3 linked regions of the Macaca fascicularis genome follow. The main gene of each other region encodes a partner of the protein of the gene in region 3 in a complex. Links are inferred from orthologs where the notes say so. Each region holds a gene or a part of one and is shown on either strand. Other genes may lie near its edges.

The links.
Region 1: SNRPF (region 3) and PPIL2 share a complex: the UniProt entries of both Homo sapiens proteins name them as parts of the minor spliceosome. The link is inferred for Macaca fascicularis from reciprocal best matches to the Homo sapiens genes SNRPF and PPIL2.
Region 2: SNRPF (region 3) and USP39 share a complex: the UniProt entries of both Homo sapiens proteins name them as parts of the U4/U6-U5 tri-snRNP complex. The link is inferred for Macaca fascicularis from reciprocal best matches to the Homo sapiens genes SNRPF and USP39.

Annotation. Positions count from the first base shown.
Region 1 is NC_088384.1:31,438,666-31,441,946, forward strand, and holds part of PPIL2 (RING-type E3 ubiquitin-protein ligase PPIL2), read right to left. Parts: intron 1,461-3,281; coding exon 1,404-1,460; intron 693-1,403; coding exon 620-692; intron 531-619; coding exon 468-530; intron 350-467; coding exon 216-349; intron 1-215. UniProt on the Homo sapiens protein: Has a ubiquitin-protein ligase activity acting as an E3 ubiquitin protein ligase or as an ubiquitin-ubiquitin ligase promoting elongation of ubiquitin chains on substrates.
Region 2 is NC_088387.1:35,971,104-35,974,851, forward strand, and holds the start of USP39 (ubiquitin carboxyl-terminal hydrolase 39), read right to left. Parts: upstream 2,259-3,748; 5' UTR 2,227-2,258; coding exon 1,959-2,226; intron 1-1,958.
Region 3 is NC_088385.1:102,892,250-102,895,997, forward strand, and holds the start of SNRPF (small nuclear ribonucleoprotein F), read left to right. Parts: upstream 1-993; 5' UTR 994-1,115; coding exon 1,116-1,118; intron 1,119-3,097; coding exon 3,098-3,223; intron 3,224-3,632; coding exon of another isoform or gene 3,633-3,695; exon of another isoform or gene 3,696-3,748. UniProt on the Homo sapiens protein: Plays a role in pre-mRNA splicing as a core component of the spliceosomal U1, U2, U4 and U5 small nuclear ribonucleoproteins (snRNPs), the building blocks of the spliceosome.

The sequences.
Region 1 (3,281 bases), on a different chromosome or scaffold from region 3:
TGCTCCCACGTCCCCCTGAATTCGATGGCTTCCACCCACAGAGGCCCCGGCCAGGCCTTCAGAGGTAGTCCCTCGGCTGCAGAGGCCACACAGCACAAGCCCATGCCCAGGTCCAGTGCCCGTGGCTTTCTTGCCCCTCTGGATCTGACCCTCAGACCTCAGTCAGCCCTAGGAAACACCATGGGAAACAGAGAGGCCAACCGCGCGGCACTCACGTGGCTGCTGGGTTGATGTACTTGCCCACGCCCTGGCGGAAGGTCTGGGGGCCCTGGCTCCCTGCCTCGGGCTGGCTGCTCTTCACTTTGGTCTCCGGGGCTGCCTCGAGCTGTGTCTTCCGCTCCTGGGCGATCTGTGGCACAAGAGGGTGGAGGCTGACCAGCAGCACCTCGGGCAGGACAGATGCTAGGCTTGGGGTGGGAAGGTGCGCTGGCCCAGACCCTCCTGGTGGTGGCATCGTGCCCCCTCACCTGGGCATCAGCCTCCTCATAGGGGTCCACGAACACTGTAGTGGCATCGATGCGGATCTCCTCCTAGCAGCAGAGGGGACTCAGTGCACGGCAGGTCCTCCCCCCGCCTGCCTGGCCCCCAGCCGCCACGCCCCACCTCCCTGGGCACAGACCTTAGGGCGGTCAGTTTTGGGGTCACTCTCCACATTCTCCATGGCTGTCAGTACGTCAAAGCCCCCAACAACACTGCAGCAGGGAGACAGAGGCGGGTCTGCATGTGCTCAAGGAGGGCACCCTCAGGGCCGGGCACCAAGGCATGTGGGAAGAGGGGTTGAGAGCCCCGAGGCTGGCCTGGTGGTCCTCGGGCAGCAGCCAGGAAGGCGATGAGAGGGCGTGGCAAGGGCGGGGTCAGCAGACCATGGCCCTGGGCATATCCAGCTGGGTTTTTTTTCTGGTTCTCTTTTGGTTCCCCACCCACAGGAAAAATAGGAGTCACAAATGTGGCTTGTGCTGTCCCCACTGGTTTGGTAACAGAGTTCCACTTGGCCAGAACCACATCACCTGCATCCACCTTGTTTTGTGCTGCTTCCACACAGTTGGGTGGGCGTCAAGAGACCACGCGGCCCACAATGCTGGAAAGACCCCTGGACTAGAGGGTGAAGGGAGCTGGGCGTGGCCAGGCTTGTGAGTGGCGCGCCATCAGGTCTGAGACAGGGCAGCGGCCAGGCCACGCAGGGGTGTTTCCTCCTCTCCTGAGCCCGGTGGGTCTGGAGAGCCAGACTTCCCTGGCACAGGGAGCACCCTCTGTCCCAGCTCTGCATAGCCTCAACCCCCAGCAGTGACAGCCAGCACGGCACATGGCTCAGGTCCACAGAGAAGGCAGCGAGGAGGCCTCAGGTGGGGAAGGACCCCACCTAGCCCACTGACCCCCAGGCTTCACACAGCCGCTTCCCTTACCGTCCAAAGATGGTGTGCTTCTTATCCAGGTAGGCACAGGAGCGAAACGTGATGAAGCTGGGGAGGAGGGTTGGATGGTTAGGGAGAGCATGGCACCTTCTGCATCTGGCCTGCCTGAGAGCACACCAGGAGCTGCCCACCCTCTACAGTCGGCTCTGGGAACCTGCGGCTTCCGTGGACACGTGGGTGCATGGGGCTCCCTGCTGCTGCCCACCAGGGCAGGTCATCAGCTCCCCAAGGCTGCCCAGGGAACCCCGGACCTCCAGCTGTCCCCAGGTCCTCCTGCTGCCCCGGCTGCTGCCCAGTGCCTGTCAGGGAGTCCCTGTGCCCAGAGCCAGCCTGGTCATGCAGGTCTGTGGGAGGTGGCTGGGACAAGGTGACACCTGGAAAACCAGAGCCAGCCCCGTGCCATCAAGGGACCTGTCGAAGGACTGAGGAGAAAGGAGGCAACAAAGCCAGAGCAGAAATCAAGGGATTCAGAAACGTGGGTAACATAAACATGGACAAAGAAAATGCTCAGGTCATCCAGACACAGTGGCTCACGCCTGTAATCCCAGCACTTTGGCAGGCCGAGGCAGGAAGACCGCTTGAGTCCAGGAGTTGAAGAACAGCTGGGGCAATAGCGTGAACCCTGGAGGCAGAGGTTGCAGTGAGTTGAGATGGCACCACTGCACTCCAGCCTGGGTGACAGAGCGAGTCGCCGTCTTAAAAAAAAAAATTTCCGGCCGGGCGCGGTGGCTCAAGCCTGTAATCCCAGCACTTTGGGAGGCCGAGACAGGCGGATCACGAGGTCAGGAGATCGAGACCATCCTGGCTGACACAGTGAAACCCCGTCTCTACTAAAAAATACAAAAAAACTAGCCGGGCGAGGTGGCGGGCGCCTGTAGTCCCAGCTACTCGGGAGGCTGAGGCAGGAGAATGGCGTAAACCCAGGAGGCAGAGCTTGCAGTGAGCCAAGATCACGCCACTGCACTCCAGCCTGGGCGGCAGAGCGAGACTCTGTCTCAAAAAAAAAAAAAAAGCCGGGCATGGTGGCTCAAGCCTGTAATCCCAGCACTTTGGGAGGCCGAGACGGGCGGATCACGAGGTCAGGAGATCGAGACCATCCTGGCTAACACAATGAAACCCCGTCTCCACTAAAAATACAAAAAAATTAGCCGGGCGTGGTGGCGGCGCCTGTAGTCCCAGCTACTCGGGAGGCTGAGGCAGGAGAATGGCGGGAACCCGGGAGGCGGAGCTTGCAGTGAGCCGAGATCGCGCCACTGCACTCCAGCCTGGGCGACAGAGCGAGACTCCGCCTCAAAAAAAAAAAAAAAAAAAAAAAATTTCCAGGAGGAGCTTGCCTCGGGATGGTTCTTTTACTTTCCTCGTATCTGAGTTTAATTCTGCTTCTAGTTTCCTTCACTGTGTTAGAAATCAGCCAGAGAGAACCACTTGCAGGTCAGAGCGCAGGTCTGCCCCATTGTAGACGTGACATCTGTGGACACTTGTCTGGTGGCCTTGGGGGTGGTCAGACTCGGTGGGCTCAGGATCATGTCCCTGCGTGGCTGGGGGGGTGCATGTTCGATGCAGCGGGGGTTAGGTCCTGTCTCTCACCAGCAGGGTATGTGGGCTGTGCCTGCCTGCACCACCCTGGGGTGCTCCGTGCCACCAGTGCTGGGACCCACCCAGTATCTTCCACTGTATTCCTTTCAGCCTCTCTGGCTCTGCCCTCTGAGGGCTTTTTGAAGGCTCACAGCTGGGGTCTGTCGCGTTCTCATTCATCCCAAAAGTCTTTTTTTTTTTTCCCTTTGAGACGGAGTCTCGCTGTCACCCAGGTTGCAGTGCAGTGGCGCGATCTTGGCTCACTGCAACGTCTGCCTCCCGGGTTCAAGCGAT
Region 2 (3,748 bases), on a different chromosome or scaffold from region 3:
ATGGGGTTTCAACATGTTGGCCAGGCTGGTCTCAAACTCCTGACCTCGTGATCCACCTGCCTCAGCCTCCCAAAGTGCTGGGATTACAGGTGTGAGCCACCGAGCCCAGTCACCAATGTACTACATAGTTTAAAGAGTGGCTGGGGTGGGTGGCTCATGCCTGTAATCCCAGCACTCTGGGAGGCAGATGCAGGCAGCTCACCTGAGGTCAGGAGTTCGAGGCCAGCCTGACTAATATAATGAAACTCCGTTTCTACTAAAAATACAAAAATTAGCCAGGTGTGGTGGCATGCGCCTGTAATCCCAGCTGCTTGGGAGGCTGAGACAGGAGAATCGCTTGAACCCGGGAGGCGGAGGTTGCAGTGAGCTGAAATCGTGCCATTGCACTCCAGCCTGGACAACAAGAGTGAAACTGTCTCAAAAAAAAAAAAAAGAAGAATGTACATGTGTATCTATAAATCTACCACTTGTCAAAAACTTAAGGGGGTCTCAGATCTTACCCTACTTGCAAGCTAACAAGTTAGCCTGTCACAGTTTTACAAATGCTGATGGAAAGCATGTCACTACCTGGCCTGAAATGAAGGGCAATTTATTACAGCAATGACAGTAGCCAGAATATAGCCTTGATATCAGTTTCCCAAGTGAATTTCTACAAGGCAAAGTGAGGAGAACCCATGCACACAGTGAGTTGCCTTACAGGAGAGTAACCCTGAGCTTAGAGAATCTGAACCATTAACCATTTTTTTAAACGAGGTCTCACTCTGTTGCCTATCCTAGTCTTGAACTCCACCTCATCCTATAGAGTAGCTGCGATTACAAGTGTGAGCCACCACACCCTGCTCCAAATCTTTTATAATGGATTGTGCCCTTGTCTCCTCCTTGTTTTGTAGGGAGACACCACTGCTATCTTCCAAGGCTGCCCACTACACGAACATCCTTAAGGAGAGTCTAGGAGCAAAGGCAGTCAGGCAATGATCGCAGTATGTGCACAAACTCAAGAGACTAATGGAGAATTGTCTCCAGACTTTATTCAGCTTAAAAAGCGCTACATAATTCATATTTTAGAGCAGGTGCCTATTGCTCAGGCATTCTGAATATCTTGATTACAGAAATTACAAGACCTTAGAGGTTTTGTAAAAACTGAAGGAAAGCCGTGCACAGTGGCTCACGCCTGTAATCCCAGCACTTTGGGAGGCCGAGGCGAGTGGAAAACTTGAGCCCAGGAGTTCGAGACCAGCCTAGGCAACATAACAAGACTTGCTTCTATTTTAAAAAGAAAAAAAAAAAATTCTTTTTTAAAATGGAAGGAAGTAACACTTGTAAAATCAGCACTGAGCCCCCACATCAGGCATTCGATGAAGGGAAACTGCTATTGTTATGACTGTTATAGTTAGAAATACCATACGGTTGGCCAGGCACGGTGGCTCACGCCTGTAATCCCAGTACTTTGGGAGGCCGAGGCGGGAGGATCACGAGGTCAGGAGATCAAGACCATCCTGGCTAACACGGTGAAACCCCTTCTCTACTAAAAATACAAAAAATTGGCCAGGCGTGGTGTCGGGCGCCTGTAATCCCAGCTATTTGGGAGGCTGAGGTAGCATAATCGTTCGAACCCGGGAGGCAGAGGTTGCAGGAGCCGAGATCGCGCCACTGCACTCCATCCTGGGTGACACAGTGAGACTCCACCTCAAAAAAAAAAAAAAGAAAAGAAAAGAAAAATAGAAAAATAAATAATATACGGTTGAGATGAATACTGTCTTCTTCAGAACAAGTCGAACAGCAGAACCATAGAGTCTGGTTCCCTCCTCTTCTCCCACCCAAACCCCACCCCTGCCCCGCCAACCCCACCCCTCCCCCGCCAAACGCGGCGCAGGGACCTGGCGGAAGATTAGAGAGACAAGAAAAAAGAACGCGAAAAAAAGAGGCTCTCGCGCCTAGCCCGGCCCGGCCCCGCGCACCTCGCACCTCCCGCTCAGGCTCCGAGTCCTCATCGACCTCGCGCTCCCGCTTCACCCGCACAAACGGGACAACAGAAGCCTGGGCCTCGCGCACGCTCGCCGGCTCGACCTCTCGCTTCACGCGCACAGGGCTGCCCCGGGAGCTTGCCGCCTCAGGCTCCCGCTCCCGATCTCGCTCCCGCTTGACGCGACCGGAGCTGCCCCGCGACTCGGACTCTCGCTTCCCGCGGGTGGAACCGCGAGACTCCCGCTTAGACCTGCCGGACATAGCCACTATCGGCAGAGTCTTCCAGCGCAGGCGCCAGGCACGCTCGAGCGCGCGGCACACGGCCAATCAGGAGAGGGGCTGGTAGGGAGCACCGAACGCTCTACGAGTCGCCACTGGGGACAAATCACGCTGCAGGAAATTTGTGGGCGGTGCTGTTCCTGTAGCGGTTTCCCCGCCCCTGAGAACCTTCTGTGGGCCTACCGTCGTTTACAGTTTACTGACACAGGAACCTTTACTGGCGACAGTTTTCTGGATAAAAGTTGTCAGGCCGGGCGCGGTGGCTCACGCCTGTAATCCCAGCACTTTGGGAGGCCGAGGCGGGTGGATCACCTGAGGTCGGGAGTTCAAGACCAGCATGACCAACATGGAGAAACAACATCTCTACTAAAAAATACAAAATTAGCCAGACGTTGTGGCGCATGCCTGTAATCCCAGCTACTTGGGAGGCTGAGGCAGGAGAATCGCTTGAACCCGGGAGGCGGAGGCGAAGGTTGCAGTGAGCCAAGATCGCGCCATTGCACTCCAGCCTAGGCAACAAGAGCGAAACTCCGTCTCAAAATGAAATAATAAAATAAAAGAAAAAGAAGCTGTCATTCGGCCCCAGATTTGTGCCTCGAAACCACCATCGCGAGGTCGTTTCCCACAGTCTCCGCGGCTTGGAGGCTGACAATCCTGCGCAGGAAAACTAGGCAACATTCCCAAATCATCCCCTTGACGGCCCTAATTCTACTGTTAAGAGGGTTCTTGGTACCATGAAAACGCAAATGCCCGGTAGGAGCGGATTTACCATGAAGCTAATAAAGCTCTAACCTCAGGACCTGCCTTGAACTTGTTTGCTTGTTTGAACTGTTCCATTGAGGTATAATTGACATACAACAAACTACATGTTTAAAGTGTGGAATTTAGGCCAGGCGCTGTGGCTCACGCCTGTAATTCCAGCACTTTGGGAGGCAGAGGCGGGCGGATCACCTGAGTCAGGATTCGAGACCAGCCTGGTCAACATGGCGAAACCCCGTCTCTACTAAAAATACAGAAATTAGCTGCGGTGGCACGAGCCTGTTATCCCAGCTACTCAGGAGGCTGAGGCAGGAGAATCGCTTGAACCCGGGAGGTGGAGGTTGCAGTGAGCCGAGATCGCGCCATTGCACTCCAGCCTGGGCAACAAGAGTGAAACTCCATCTTAGAATACAATACAACACAACACAGCACAGCAATTTACTGAATTCTGACTTGAGGTATATGTCAGAGGCGTTCGAACCAGACCAACTCCACTGAAGGTTAGGAAAATGAGGCTGGGACTTGACAGGCTGCATTCCTAGGAAGTTAGATATTCCTAGCCTTTAGATGTCTCCGGTTAAGGGAACAGAGAGATAATGTTTACTAAACAGATCCAGACTTGGGAGTGTCCTAATATCCTAATAACTGGAGAATACAGGCATTCCTAATTTTGCTTTAAAGATAATATTGCTTCTTGCAAAATATAGTAATTAATAAAATTAATCCTTTATCACAAACCCTTGTA
Region 3 (3,748 bases):
TTTAAAGCCGCGTTCCTGCCGTGGAAACAGTGGCCCTGAGGGTTAAGACACTGCCCAACACCGGCTGCGCCTGATAGACGCAGGTTCCGAATGCAGGCCCTCTCCAAAGTCTTGCCCACTGCTCCACAGTGCCTCAACAACCAACATTTCATCCTCAACCTCAAATCCATCTCTTCAGGGCCGCAAAAAAGCGTTACTTCCCAAAGGGCGTGTTCTCCAAGAACTGCATTTAGCATTTCAGATCAGAGTGAGCCGAACTCACTAGGATTACGACAAAAACCAGTGAGATTCAGATAACACCGTTACGTCGAAAGTTTTAATCCGTGACAGCGGAAATATTGCTTACGCCCTTAGGTAATTTCAAATGCACGTAAGAAGGCCGTGCCAGTCTCTGCTGGCGATGCAAAAGAAAGATGGGGCCGGCGGGGTCGTGGGGGGTGGGGGGACATGACATCATATCCCAGACACAACCTGACCTCGTTTAAAATAAATTCTGTATCCGACTCCCTTCGGTGCGTTTCACCGCCCCTAGTCTTGTCTGGCTACCCCCGAAGTCCTTTAAAAGGGGTTGAAATGGGTGTTGCAGAAGAGAGAATACTCAGGTAGAAACGGCCTGCGGCAGAGGCGCCCCCAAATCATGGAACCTGTTGGAAGAGTGAGGAAGGAACTCTGGGATCCTGAACATTCTCACGGGTGTAAAAAGACAAAGTAAAATCCCCATTAACCAAGTTGGGGAGAAGTCACATCCGTTACACAGCCTCTCCCAGACCGCACATTTACAACACCGGCCTGCCTCCAGTCCTTGGCTGCCTCACCTTGCTCCTCAGAGCGGGTTTCCCAAGACCCGCGCGCAGCCGGCCAGGCGCAAACTCAAGCCGCTGCTGGTTGCCAGGAGATACTGGTCCAACCATCTCCTCCAATCAGCGCGCATCTCTTTTCGTCCAATCACAGAGGCAGGAAGGGCCGTGGTGGGAGGTGAAAGGTCACACTCCTGTTTGGCGGCCATTTTTCTTGAAATTCAGCGGCTCGGGACCTGGGGTACCTGCTGTAGTCACGAGGGACAAGCGGCAGCCTGGTCGGCAGTGAGTAGCCTGCAATATTCGGCCGTGGTTACGATGGTAAGGAGAACGAGAACGGCGGGAGAAGCGGGGAGAAAGAGAAGGAGGGAGACCACCTCGCGGGGCCTAGTGGTTGCTTCGCGCGTTTCCCATTCATCCGCGTGAGGCGCCGCGCACCCGGTCGCCAGCTTCTTTCACTCTGCTTTTAGGATTTCTGAGGCGCGTGCTCCTCCCGATGCCTTTCTTTTTCTAGGAGTACCCGTGCCTTCTCCTCTTTGTTTGAATCCGGGCTTGGGATATTCTTGTTTGTGGCTACAGGGTCGGGGTAAAACTCAAAGAGAATTTGCACTTCCCACTTAACCACACTCCAAAATTCACTTTCATTGCATGAAAGTAATGATACGGCCATGCTCTAGTTTAACTCAGTTGGTTGGGGAAGACAGACAGTCAAAAAATAACAAATATGCAATTGCAAGTAATAAGTGCTAAGAAGAATGCAGACAGGAGGCTGTGAGGGTGCGCGTTAGACATTTAGAGGCTTAGTCAGAGATGGCCTCCCTAGGAGGTGGAATTTAACCTGAAGCCTAAGTGTCATGAAATAGACCCTTTAAAGAGCAGGAGGAGGAGTGTACCGAGCACAGGGAATAGGCGCATAAGACCTGCGGCCGGAAAGAAAGCTTGGTCAGTTGGAGAAATTGACAAAAAGGTACAGCCACTTGCAGGAAGAGTGGTTACGAGATGGTGTCGGAGGAGCAGGCGTTGGACAGGACCTCTTAGGCTGTATTGGGAGGTTTTGATTGTACTCCAAATCAATTGAAAATGATTGAGTTGGAAGCCATTGAATCATTTTAAGCAGAAATATGACAATTTGATGTGCACTTTAAAAAATCATGTTGCTGTGGTGGATAATAAATTGGAGAATGAAAACTGGAGACCCATTAGGTTATTGGAGTAATCGCCGTATCAAGTCACTCCGAATATGTTTATGTTAGAGGGGGTTAGTAGCCAAGTTTCTTAGTTCTGTTCTTTCTTTGACTGGTGAGTGAGCAGAAAAAGGCAAAAACCGAATTCACTGGAGATGTTAATGGTTTGCTGAACAAACTTTAAGTGATTTCTATAAGAGGCAGTGCTAGTGACAAAGTCATTTAGGACCTAGCCCTAGCTTCCACAGTTAAAGACTGTCAAGCGTCATCTGCCCTCTGCTTCCTTCTGTAGTCTTATATTTGGGACTTTGACTGACAATGCTGAATTGTATGTCCCCAAAATCACCTTGTTGCTTCACTCTTCCCTCCTTTTACATAAGTAGCTAGCCTTGCCTGGAACAGGATTTTTTCCCGCTCTGGAAATAAATTCTCATTCTTTAAAACTGAGGTTAACTTATTTCAGGCAACCTTTCCTTTTTTCCCTGGATTGCTTCGGTACCCTTGTGCCTAGTATATCTCCTCTTATTATGTTGCAATATGCAGTATAATTATTTGTATGTGAGGAGCCCCCCTCCCCATCTCCAACTTCTTGACAGGGACTCTGTTATTTATTTATGACAAGGTCTTGCTCTGTTCCCTAGTAGCCGGGACTACAGGTGTGCACCACCACATCTGACTATTTTTGGTAGAGAAGGTGGTCTCACTATGTTGCCTGGGCTGGTCTTGAAATTCTGGCCTCAAGTGATCCCCCTGCCTTGGCCTTCCAGAATGCTGGAATTACAGATATGAGCCACCCTTTCTGGCCCGCATTTTTTTTTTTTAAAGTGCCTTTATCTTTGTTTCTTTAGAGCTCAGAACAGTAAGTGATGTATGTAGTCGGTGTTATCTTAAGTGAATAGTGAGTATTTTGTTTTGATGGGTTAAAGGTGATACTGACTAACTGGATATTTAAATTTCCCTGGTACTCTCCAATAAATAAAAGTGAAAATTGTGTACTAAAATAATGAGTCAAGAGTTTTCTTCATTTGCATACCACAAAATATTGGTATTTAGTAGAAGAGAGTTGGTGGTGGGAGGAAAAATAATTAATTGGATCCTTTTTTGTTCTTTGTGCAGAGTTTACCCCTCAATCCCAAACCTTTCCTCAATGGACTAACAGGAAAGCCAGTGATGGTGAAACTTAAGTGGGGAATGGAGTACAAGGGCTATCTGGTATCTGTAGATGGCTACATGAACATGCAGGTAAGCTAAAGAGCTGTAAAGGTCATAACATTGCATTTAGTTTGCTTCACCTTATTGCTCAAAGGTTTAGTCTGACTAATAAGAATACATACAATTAAATTGACAAATGTACGGCAAAATTAAAAAATAAAGTCAAAGCCAGGGAGGATACTATGATATACTAGGTACAAGACATGGACTTAAACCAGAATTCAGCCACAGATTTTATTCCTAGTAGTTAAAGTAAGAAGAGCTCAGACATTTAATTCATAATAATACTGTAAGGGAAACACACTACTTTGCTGGAGAAAACAAAACATTTCTCATCATTTAGCCCTGAAAGAAAGTTTTCAAGTGAAATTCATGAGTCTTTTAATGAATGATGCTAAAGGCACAACACCAAAGTTATTGAGGAAATTCATTCCTTCAGGGGAAAGACACATCTGCCGAAGAAATTGAACTGACTGTATGTCTGTCAAATGAGTTTCTGTAAATGATTCAGCCATGTGTTTTGGTGGGGGTTTTTTTGTAATTAATTTTCTTTTT